Linked DNA regions of Oryzias latipes. The main gene of each other region encodes a partner of the protein of the gene in region 2 in a complex. Links are inferred from orthologs where the notes say so. Each region holds a gene or a part of one and is shown on either strand. Other genes may lie near its edges.

Region 1 (3,583 bases), on a different chromosome or scaffold from region 2:
TCGGGATTTTGAAACTGTCTCCCACCATCAGAGTTTATCCAAAGAAAATAGAGATATCTACACGTTTGCTTTTTGATTTTCCTCAAGAAATCCTTAAAATATTATTGCACCACCAATAAAATGCAAATCATAATTTAAAAAATTCACCCCGGTACATTTCTCTGCTGTCCCCCTGAAGCCTGCGACGATGTTGGGTGAGTAGAAAAGTCCAAAAAGTAAAACAACATTTGAAACATTGTACAATACACTTTTTGTAACAAAGTGGACGTTTCTGACGGTGAGTATGTGGGCTATTTGGGTAATGGAGGAAGTGGGGGAGGGGGTTCTGAAGGTAGGGGTGGGGGTCTGGGGTTGTTCCCTCTGGACCCAGCGGGGAACCTATAGTCTCCGTACTGAGAGCGGTACTCGAACATGGACGGCTGTGCCGGCTGGACGCCCTGAGCGCTCAGTAGAGAGTTTAACATGTCAAAAGTGTCCTGGTACTCGTTGGACTGGACCCCGCCCGCTGCACTGTGGCCATTTGTGTCCGTCTTGTCACTTTTGGAGTGCGAGTACGCCCCTTGGTGGTGGGAAAGGCCCAAAGCAGGAAGCAGGTCGGGTCCATGACCCAAAGTTTGTCCAGAGGAAGCGGACAGGGACGGTAGTTGGTATGGATTCCTGGACGACTTGCTGACTTTGAGGGGCGGGTGGGAGCCGGCTGCAGGGTCTGGAAGGTGCGTCCTCTTCCGTGAGGCTGAGGATGACGAAGAACTTGTTCTAGAAGAGTCATTGGGAACTTTTTTACTGCTTCCTAAGCCCCCACTTGTACTAGAATGTTTGTGGGAGGACGAGAGTGAAGCGCTGCTGGAGGAATGGTGATAGTGGTGGTGGTTAGAGCGCTCCCTGTGCTTGTCCCTGCTCTTACCATCCTCCCCAGAGCCTGTCTTTAGTTTGTCAGGCACTCGTATTTTGACTTTAATGTCTGCATCCTGACCTCGGTCACTGCCACTTTGCGCACTGCTGCCGCTGCCGTGTCCGCCACCGCTGCCCCCTCCTGACCCAGGTACTGGATAACGCACTTTTAAAGAGCGGTCGTGTCTCTCTTTTTCCAGGGGGATTTTCAAAATAATGGGCGAGGGGTTAGACATGTCAGAAGAAAAGCTGGACTGCTGGTGGTGATGCTGCTGCTTCTCTTTCCTCTGCTGTTGGCCGATGAGAGCCTTCGCTGCATTGGCATATTCTCTCTTGACGCTGTCCTCCATGTTCTCAAGCTTCCGCTTCTGGGCGGCTAGTACATCTGCGTTCTTGGCCCGGTACTCACTCAGTGACACTTTGGCAGGAGCGTGGACCTCGTGGTTGGGCGGTAGTTCAGTTGCAGACGCACCTTTCCCGCTCCACGTCTGAGCGCTCCCAGGTGTGACCTTGTCGCCCGCAGATGAGGAAGAGGAGCCCGATGGAGCGGAGAGGCTCATGAGTCCTGCCACAGTACTTTCTGATGAGACCATGGAGATCATGCTGATCATGGCGTCTCTCTGTTCACCTTCCTCCTGGACCTTGGGCTTGACCTTTGGGGTCTGGCCTCCAGCCTGAGAAACAAGAAACATTATTAGGTCAGAAGTTCCATTCACACAAAAAGAGAGCGCTTGGCTTTCAGCAGGGGAGCCCAATCGGATCCATACGTCAGTGCACGTATGTGCATGTTTAACCACACAGAGTGCCAGATGTGTGATCGACCAGCCCCCTCTGCCTGCCATTGCATAGGCTCTGCTGGCACAGCCACGCGCCGGTTCCTAGGGTGAATGCCACTCCAGATTGCAGGAGCATTTGAAACCCACTCAGGCAGCAGTGCCGTCCAGAAGCATGTGCTTCTCGAGCCCCACCCATGAACCGGGCACCCGGCTGGGCTGCTGTGTGCACTCTGCCGTTGCTCGCCCACCACCCTGAAGAAAGCCCGAGCAGGTGGAGACCAAGAAACTGTGGGCTCCGCTAGCTTACAGGCAGAAACAAAGTCGTACCTTCCAGTTCCGAATCCGTTTAAGCCGACTAGGAGTTTTCTCCAAGATTTGCAGAAACTCATGCGTGAGTTCTGCAAAAGAGTTACAGGCTACAGTCACAAACTCTCCAAAGACGGATTTGCAGTTCTTTACACCATTTTTGCATTTACAAAAAAGAATAGTTAAAAAAAAAAACAACAGGATTTGTGAAGTACCGTCCAAAAGCTCCAAAGTAACCGTGGGATCAACGTATTCCCACCAGTGTTTGCCATCAGTGGAGACGGGGATCTCCCAGTTGGACCACTTGCATGCAAGATGTATGCACACGCAGGCCACGACGGGGGGGCAATACTGCAGGCAGAAGGTGGTCAAATGCAGACTGGGTGGCAGGACGCACGAAAAGAGAGAGAGAGAGGAAACAAATCAGCCCATTTCCACATCAAAATTCCCACCGTAAAGCCGATGTGAAAGGAGGGCATACCTGTTAGTTGCCATAAAGTAGGATGTTTGGGCCAGATCCTTGCTGGCTGCAATAAAACCAAAACAAAGAAACAAAAAAAGACCTTAAAGTCTGCAAATTAACAATTGGAGGTACAAGTTGTTGAATAGTGCCAAATAGACGGCATTTTTTTTCTTTATATACGCATATTGTGGACAAGGTGCTCACCTCTGACGAGCTGAGTGCACTTGACAACATGAGTGTGAGGATGATCAATGGTGATTTCAAAAGCTGCCACAAAAAGGGGGACAAGAAAAGAGAAAGACATCAGCTCACTGGTTGCCAAATTAAAACGTTCAGGTTTATTTGAACCATTTGGCTTCCACTGGATAGGTAACGTTACCAAAGACCCTAAGAAAAAAAACAAAAAATGTGTAATTATTCAAACAAAACGCCAAGTGGAGATCAACGTTTTATGAGAACTCTTCTCATGGGATCAAACCTTGGGCAAAATCAAAATATTAAAACCTAATCCACACAAAAAAGTAGAAGGAAAATTAAAAAATGGCCCATCATTTTCAGTTCCTCAAACATGTTCTGCTCCACGAAGTTGTGAAAAAGCATTCTTAAATTTATATAGAAAAAAAGGACGAAAATAAAGGACTGAAATGGTAAACGATAAAGAGAATGAAAGAAATGCGACTGAACAGTGGTGGAAATGCTTCTAACATGAGTTGAGTATGTGTTTTCCAGTGCTGATAACCACATTTGGAGTTTCTGGAAACAGAAAGCTGCAGAGGTCATCTCGGTCAGGATGATTCTCTGGAGGGAAAGGAAGGGTCCCAGGTTTGCCTCCCAAACTTACCCAAGGTCTGGAGTATTATGCTCTCAAGAATGACCAGGTCTTGGGCTTGTGTCAGGTAAGCCTGAGGTTGAGAGGACAGGCATGTTACTCTCCCAGACGCCTGCAAACTGTTGTCAAACAAGAGTGTCTGAGCAGCTCACTCTGTGGTCCTAGAAATGTTCGTCCATTCATGTAAAAGTCCACAAAGCGAGCGCAGACACTCCTGTTTTACAACCGATAGACATCACATCACCTGGGTGACTGAAACCTACACAATCAGACGCATTTTGACCCTTGCTCTCTCAACCCATAGGGAGCAGCGTCTCA
Region 2 (3,378 bases):
CAGCTGGTGGCCGAACCTCCTAAACTGGCTGAATATCAGGCCTACATTGACTTTGAATTGAAGGTGGGGGACCCAGCACGGATCCAGATTACCTTTGAAAGAGCTCTGGCAGAGAACTGCTTGGTTCCAGACATGTGGTCTAAATGCACCAAGTATCTTGTGAGTATTGATTATTGTTCAGTCTATAAAGAATGAAATTTTTGCTATGTATTTGTTTTAGTTCAGCTGCCTGTTTCTGTTTATTTAGCATTTTAGTAAATTGGCCAATTAAGAAAGAAAAATGAAAACATAATTAAAAAAAAAGTGTTGCTTAGATTTTTGTCTTTTATTTTTGATCTTTTAGGATCGCCAGCTGAAGGTTAAAGACTTGGTTCTGTCCACTCATGAGCGGGCTGTTAGGAACTGCCCCTGGACCATGAGTCTGTGGAAGAGCTACCTGCTGGCTTTAGAGAGGCATGGAGCAGACCATCACACTGTGTCAGGTACCAGTTTGATTACCTGTGACATTTACCACATGTGTGATGACTAACTTTTAATTCCTTATTAAAATGGTTTTAAACAGTGGAGGAGAAAAAAGTTGTTAAAGAAAATGTTTTTTTCCTTGAAATTTTCATTTAGGGAGAAAAATCGAATGAATTAATTCGAATTTTTTGTTACGGGTGATTTAAAAAATAACTAAATTGAGTTTTTTTGCAACGGTGCATTTTTGGCTCCCCGGAGCTTCTGTAGCGTTAATTCACACGGCAGTATGACAAGCGACAAACAACAACATCATAGCACCACGAAACAGCAAGCGGCAACATGGCTACCGGTGAGAGTGGGAAGTTTGTTCCCAAGAAAGGAATAAAATCATCTGTTGTTTGGAACTGGTATGGGTTTGCTGCCACAGACGTGGAGGAAGAGACCCCCCCCCATGCTGCAACACTTGCCTAAAGCCCATCGCAGTCAAAGGCAGCAGCACCACAATCCTATTCCAACACCTGGAACAGAGACATCCAGCGGAATATGAAAAAGGCCAGTCTCTCTGAGGCGAACAAAACCGCGGTGACCAAAAAAACAGCTAACTGTAGCCGAAAATCGGAAATCAAATCAAATCTGAGATTTTATTTTTAGGCCTTATAGCCCAGCCCTAGTCAAAATAAAAGAATATTTGGTTACTTGCTAAAGTTAACAAATAGTAATTTTTTTTCTATTATTTCTATATACATATTAGAAAAAAAGCTGTAAATGTTTAATTCTTTACAAAGATGCTGAGTTATTAAAGTTGAGGAAGCACGTGTGTGTTAATGGGGACAGTTAGTTTATTTGTGTGTTTGAGTTTCATTTTCTTCTTTTGTCTTTTGTTCAGATGTTTTTGAGAAAGCACTGAATGCAGGCTTCATTCAAGCAACAGACTATGTGGAAATCTGGCAGGTGTACCTGGACTACCTGAGGAGGCGCGTGGATTTCAGTAAAGGTGAGAGCTGCTGTGTTCGTCACATTTGGTAAAATAAGAAATTGGAATCATTTAAACTCTTTCTTTAGAATCAAGCAAAGAATTGGAGGAGTTACGAGAGGCCTTCTCTAGATGCTTAGACTACATGAAACAAGATGTTGAAGAAAGTAAGTAAATCTATTGTTTATTTACTTTATTTTGTCAGTTGAAGTTCTCATTTAGCTTTTTTCATCACTAACTTATATTTCGGTGTAAATTCAGGATTTGGGGAAAGTGGAGACCCTTCCTGTGTCGTCATGCAGATTTGGGCAAGGATAGAGGTAACTGGTGCTACTGCTTAAACCAGATTCAAGTGTGAAATCTTAAATTATATTATATTGGTGGTAAAAATAAAATAGGACTCAAGTCTTAACCAAGAGAATTCTATAAAACAATTTAAGATAAATTAAGTGAAAGCTGAGAATTTGGTTGTTGAAAAATGAAGCAGGAAGTTTTGATTGGAATATTTGAACAGTATCTTTCAAATTTTGGGATTTTAATTTGGCATTAAATTCTTTTTCTGTTCCTCACCAGGCCCTCCACTGCAAGAACATGCAAAAAGCCCGAGAGCTGTGGGATAACATCATGACTAAGGGGAACTCCAAATATGCCAACATGTGGTTGGAATACTACAATCTTGAAAGGTTTGTTTGGTAATCCCCCAAATCCAGAGAGAAAAACACTTTGCAGCAGTGACAAGAAGCTTTCTCTGAAAACCATAGATCTTATGGGGACTCTGTTCACTGCCGGAAAGCTCTCCACAGAGCAGTTCAGTGCACCACCGACTATCCGGAACACGTCTGTGACGTCCTGCTCACCTTTGAAAGGGTAGAAGGTGAGTCTCATGGTAACACAATTTTACACCTCCAATCTCATGTCAGCATTATATAATCAACTCTGTTGCTTTATTAAGTTAAATACAGTTAGTGGTATATGAGATGAACTATCTAACAGATAAACTAAAGATCTCATAGCTGTTAGAGATTGAGTTATTAATTATATAAAGGTTCCATCCAGGTTCATTGGAGGACTGGGACACAGCGGTGCAGAAAACTGAGTCCAGGATGAACCGGATTAATGAGCAACGAGCCAAGGTAGGAAGGTGTTGATGTGTGTTGGACAGGATGGTAGCATCGCATGGAGCTAATGTTAGCATATCCGGATCATAACCTCCAAAAATCAGGCTGCTGAGAAAGAAGCCAACCAGGCTCGCCAAGAGGAGGAACGAGTTGAGCAGCGTCGGAAGGTCAAGGCAGAAAAGAAGGGTCTGAAAAAGGATCAGAGGGGAGCTGGTGAGAAGAGAAAAGCAGAACAAGAGGATCAGGATGAATGGAACAAAGACTCGGGTAAAGGTTATTTTAAGGAAAAATAACTTAATGTTTTGACAATGTTGTCACAAAGTTTCTCTTTTCCATGATGTTGTAAGGGCCTAAAAGGCGCAGAGGGAATGTAGACGGCACTACAGACGAGTACATGGAGACGGAGACCGGGCTCTTTGGAAGGAACGCTCCCAGAACTAAACCTTCAGCCGGCCTGAAGAAAGTCCCGCCTGGACACGGGGACGCTGCGGAGAAGCAGATCGACGACAAGTCTGAGCTCCGAGACGACTGCTGCAGCGTGTTCATCAGTAACCTGGCATTCACGCTGCAGGAGCCAGAGGCAACGCTCAAAGCGCTGTTTGAGAGCTGCGGTTCCATCGCCCAGGTTCGCCCCATCTTCGGCCACAGAGGAGTCTTCAGAGGATACTGCTACGTACAGTTTGAATCTCCAGCATCCGTTACTGAAGCTTTGAAGCTGGACAGACGGGAGGTGGAGGGGAGGCCCATGTTTGTTTCACCGTGTGTAGATAAAAACAAAAATCCAGACTTTAAGGTTTGTAAAAACACACATCAGATGTTTTTTCA
Region 3 (4,231 bases), on a different chromosome or scaffold from region 2:
TCAAATGAAATGGGCAGTTCAGCTTTTTTTTAATGCGGTTTGTCAACAGCATCTCCTGTTTCTCGTCCATGCAGCTCATTCCACCATAGCCATCGACTGGGACACGGAGTCAAAGAAGCTGTTCTACGACGAGCAGGAAGCAGAGGTCAGGGCCTTGATAGCTTTCAAATAGCCACATGCAAACGGCCTATTTATAGCTGTGTACATGTTGTGTGTAGGCCTATGAAAAGCACGAGAGCATGCTGCAGCCCCAGAAAAAGAAAACCACCGTGGCTTTGAGGGATTGCATTGAGCTCTTCACCACCATGGAGACGCTGGGAGAACACGACCCCTGGTGAGAACTCTTCAGCATCAAAAAGTTCCAGATGTTTCTACTGCCTTCAGCAGCTAATCTGTTTTTTATACATAGGTATTGTCCAACGTGTAAGAAACACCAACAAGCCACAAAAAAGTTTGACCTGTGGTCTTTGCCTCGCATTCTGGTCGTTCATCTGAAGCGTTTCTCCTACAACCGATGCTGGAGGGACAAGCTGGACACGGTGGTGGACTTTCCTATTAGGTATGGTGGGATAACTCAAGACTCTCAGGTTGCATTCATACCAAACGCGATTTGGCGGTTCAACACTCAATTACCCCCCCCCCTGACCTCAGATTGCTTTGCTGTGGTACATGGCGCTCAGAAATCTGTCAGTGTTTAGGTAAGGCCTTTGATAATCTAGCAGAGATTGGTGGATTCTTAGAGGACTGTGTTAAAGTCGGAGCCCCGAGGAGTGATGCGTACTTTCCTTTCACTGTGGAAAAAAGTGATAGTTTAGTTTCCTTCTTACTATTACGTTCCTTTTTGAAATAAAAACTTATTTTCCTTTCTTCAACCAGAGGTGGTTCTGCAGCTGCAGGTTGCAGACCCCTCCACTAGAGGGAGCTATGTACAGTTCACCTGAACCAGAAATCTCTCACGGAAACGCATCTTTCCAGAACTGTGCTTCATTGTGGGGTTCTTGTGCAACACTTCAGAGAACAGATAACGCTGTAATCTGTTTGCTTCTATTATTTTATGGCCGTTTGAAAGAGCCTTTCACGCCGCTCCCCACCCCTCCCCCACCCCCCGCGTTTGCTCAACACAAAACATCCTCAGTTGTAAAAGAGGAACTTAACCACATGACCAGGAAACGAGATCAGAGTGACTCCAAACTCTGCTCAGTCCTACTCTTCCTCATTAAATCTACATGAGTTTTGGTTTCAGCCTAACTGTCTTTTTGTTTTCTTTCTTTTTCAGAGATCTAAACATGTCCGAGTTTGTTTGTGACCCAAAGGCGAGCCCCTACATCTATGACCTCATTGCTGTGTCCAACCACTATGGAGGAATGGGAGGAGGCCACTGTGAGTCCCTGCTTATACTCCAGCCTCCTTTAAATAGCTGAATGAAAAACACATGAGGCAGGTTAAACCCATGAAACAGCAAAGAAACGTTATCACAGAAACTAGCCGCCATGGTAGAAACCTGTAGCTGTCTTCACTTCTGAGGGACCGTTGTGTTTCCTCAGCGTCTGTTTCTTTATCTAGTTAAGATCTTCCTTTCTTCCATCGTAAATGAGTGACCTGAACCAAAGTCTAACCTTTGTGTGAACAGACACCGCCTACGCCAAGAATAAACTGGACGGAAAGTGGTATTATTTTGACGACAGCAGCGTCTCCTCGGCCACAGACGACCAGATTGTGGTGCGTTCCTCTTTAAATTGGTGTTTTGGGAGGGCAGGCCTTGGCCCTGCTGGTGTTGAATGTCCATGTTGAGTAACTGTATCCCTCCTGTCGGTCTGCAGACTAAAGCGGCCTACGTGCTCTTCTATCAGCGCAGAGACGAGGACGCTCCCTCCAAAAGTCCGCCTTCGGCGTCGTTGGGAGCATCTCCGGAGGCCGCCGACGACCGCATGGACACAAACTGAGAGGCTCAAAGGGAGACGGACACGCACGGGGCGAACGGACACGTGGACACGCACACCATGCTTCTGTAGTGACGGACGGCTCCACAGACTTTTTATTAACCCCACCCTCCGCTTGAATCTGTCTTGTGATTTTTGGCTAAAGCCAACAGCCTGGAAGGAGCGGACGGTCTGCTGATTTATAGTTTTACTAGTTCCAAACTAAGAGGAATGTAGATTCTCTCACTGGATGATCATATTGTTAAAGTGCCCTCATATGTATAGATAAAAGGTTTGTTTCCCACAAAAATATTCTGAGATACTTAGAGAAAAAAGCCAAATGCACATTGTTTGAACCAAAGCGTTCGGAGATATTTATGTGAAAAATAAAGCAGAAATCAGCCAGATGCTGGCGCTGTGCCTAGATTGTCCTTGCTACGTGAAATGCAATCCTTTTCTAAAGGGAGGTGTGCGCTCAAAAGGAAACGAGTGACTCCTGAGGCCGAACTGTGGTTCAGCGGGACGCCCGGGAGGGGAGGGGCTCAGACCGCTTCAGCAGGTGACCCGCAGGAGCTGTTTTTGATCAGAATGAGAGAAAAACTGCAGAAAACAAGCAGGCAGGCGCCTTCCTGTGTTTAAAGGTAAATATCAACCTGCTGTATGCAGACGCCACAGAACTGGACGCTGTGGCCCACAGCATCCAAGGATGTGACGTGGGACACCTTCAGATCTTTTAGCTTGGTTCTATGCACACATGGACTGCTGCTTAGTTCTGTACAATAATGTACAGAGAAGCCATGTTCAAAACACACTGGCTAAAACAAGATAAACCAGGATGAACCGATGCTTTGATGAAACCTCGACTCGCTCCTTGACACGAGCAACTATCTGCTCATCTGATCTGGACTAAACAAGATCTTGACAGGAACAAACATTTGCATGATTTACAAACCGTTTAACTTTTTGTTTTCCTCTGAATTGCATAGAAAAAACTAAATCCAATCAAATCATGTTCATTATTTATAATGAAGGCAGTTTCCAGTTAAAATGTCAACTTTTCTTTTGCGTCAGAATAAACTGATCTAGAAAAGCTTCGTCACATCTGCCGTGAGTTTTTTTTCCCGTTTTATTAAAATGATCCGAAAACAGTTGAAGTCATCCTCTGAACCCAGTTTGTTTTTTAATTGAGAAATATTTCAGTTAATGTTGCAATAAAGTCCTGAAGCCTCAACCAAGTTGGTTTGCTTGTGTACTTTAGAATTTGAAATGTGGCTGTGCCGTCAGCGCAGCACAGATTGCATATCAGCTCCTTACCAAAGAGGCCATTCTGTTCAAACACTGCCTCCATTGTTGGATCCTCTTTACCAGCAGGTGAAGCAACCAAAAAAACCACCCAGTCATGCTGACTTCACAGGCTGGATTAGTGTTGGCACCAACCCAGAGGAGACGAGCATGTGGTGGGAATGACTGGTTTACCTGCTGATGACTGTTATCCCGTCCCAGGACTCATTCAGGCAGCACAACATTTGGTCACAAACATTTATTGGTCCTCAAAAAAACACCACAACTGTGCTTTACATGCAGCCAATGCAGCTGAAAACGTTTGAACCTTTCCATGTCATCAGACGCCCTCCTCACTCGCTTTCAGAGGATGTCTTCATGTAGTAAAGGAACAAAGCAGCCATCGAATGCAGGGAAGCACAGGTGGAGTTGGAGGGAGGGAGGGAAGCACTGGACGGCTTGAAGATGTTACTTGGTTTGGCTGAGGAGCTTCTTGATGTCTCCTTCCACGTCGCTGGTGAGGAACCTCCTGCTGTACCGCTTGAACGGCGTCCCATCCGGCCCCACCAGGAACTTCTCAAAGTTCCAGGCCACGTCGTTTCTGCACACCGGGCTCCAGATGATGAACTTGGGGTCGGTCATCAGGGGTGCGGGGTCATCGCTGGGGGTGGGGAGCTGCTCCCTCAGAAAGGCAAACAAAGGGTGGGCATCCTTCCCGTTCACATCCACCTTCTCCAAGAGCTGGAACTTTGGCTCGAAGCCATTCCCGGGACGGACGTGCTTCAGGGACAGCAGGATTTCTTCATTCTTGCAGTTCTCCTGTGGGTCGATCATTAACAGTTTATGAATGTGCCGCCTTTCATCTGGTTTGTGAATGCGAGGACCATGATCCACACAAACTTAAAGCATGTTTTTGGTCTCATCAATCACCCATCATCAGATAGGGAATAATTCATAAAGTCAAACCTGGAACAAAAATCCCCCCCAAAACAAGTCTTCAAAACAGTTCATAGAAAACACGTTTATTCATA

Evidence for each region. Proteins that work in one complex are often made in the same cells at the same time.
Region 1: sart3 (region 2) and ccnt1 share a complex: the UniProt entries of both Homo sapiens proteins name them as parts of the 7SK snRNP complex. The link is inferred for Oryzias latipes from reciprocal best matches to the Homo sapiens genes SART3 and CCNT1.
Region 3: the proteins of sart3 (region 2) and usp4 are in contact, whole or in part, in a crystal structure (PDB 5CTR), measured with the Homo sapiens proteins. The link is inferred for Oryzias latipes from reciprocal best matches to the Homo sapiens genes SART3 and USP4. Residues at the interface, in NP_055521.1 of Homo sapiens: Asp437, Ser438, Ser439, Lys440, Gln490, Arg493, Glu494, Trp496, Asp497, Met500, Thr501, Ala505, Trp511, Tyr514, Lys529, Arg533, Cys537; in NP_003354.2 of Homo sapiens: Met24, Thr27, Leu28, Ser53, Trp54, Glu123, Gly125, Leu126, Phe127, Val128, Lys129, His130, Cys131, Lys132.

Annotation. Positions count from the first base shown.
Region 1 is NC_019865.2:25,919,892-25,923,474, reverse strand, and holds part of ccnt1 (cyclin-T1), read right to left. Parts: intron 3,339-3,583; coding exon 3,278-3,338; intron 2,704-3,277; coding exon 2,641-2,703; intron 2,513-2,640; coding exon 2,455-2,512; intron 2,353-2,454; coding exon 2,189-2,352; intron 2,066-2,188; coding exon 1,995-2,065; intron 1,566-1,994; coding exon 291-1,565; 3' UTR 1-290. UniProt on the Homo sapiens protein: Regulatory subunit of the cyclin-dependent kinase pair (CDK9/cyclin-T1) complex, also called positive transcription elongation factor B (P-TEFb), which facilitates the transition from abortive to productive elongation by phosphorylating the CTD (C-terminal domain) of the large subunit of RNA polymerase II (RNA Pol II).
Region 2 is NC_019867.2:12,882,971-12,886,348, reverse strand, and holds part of sart3 (squamous cell carcinoma antigen recognized by T-cells 3), read left to right. Parts: intron 1-3; coding exon 4-159; intron 160-343; coding exon 344-482; intron 483-1,348; coding exon 1,349-1,456; intron 1,457-1,524; coding exon 1,525-1,602; intron 1,603-1,696; coding exon 1,697-1,755; intron 1,756-2,008; coding exon 2,009-2,118; intron 2,119-2,196; coding exon 2,197-2,309; intron 2,310-2,491; coding exon 2,492-2,568; intron 2,569-2,657; coding exon 2,658-2,820; intron 2,821-2,900; coding exon 2,901-3,346; intron 3,347-3,378. UniProt on the Homo sapiens protein: U6 snRNP-binding protein that functions as a recycling factor of the splicing machinery. Promotes the initial reassembly of U4 and U6 snRNPs following their ejection from the spliceosome during its maturation.
Region 3 is NC_019863.2:3,078,465-3,082,695, reverse strand, and holds the end of usp4 (ubiquitin carboxyl-terminal hydrolase 4), read left to right. Parts: intron 1-74; coding exon 75-145; intron 146-218; coding exon 219-334; intron 335-409; coding exon 410-559; intron 560-1,276; coding exon 1,277-1,380; intron 1,381-1,630; coding exon 1,631-1,719; intron 1,720-1,820; coding exon 1,821-1,943; 3' UTR 1,944-3,148; downstream 3,149-4,231.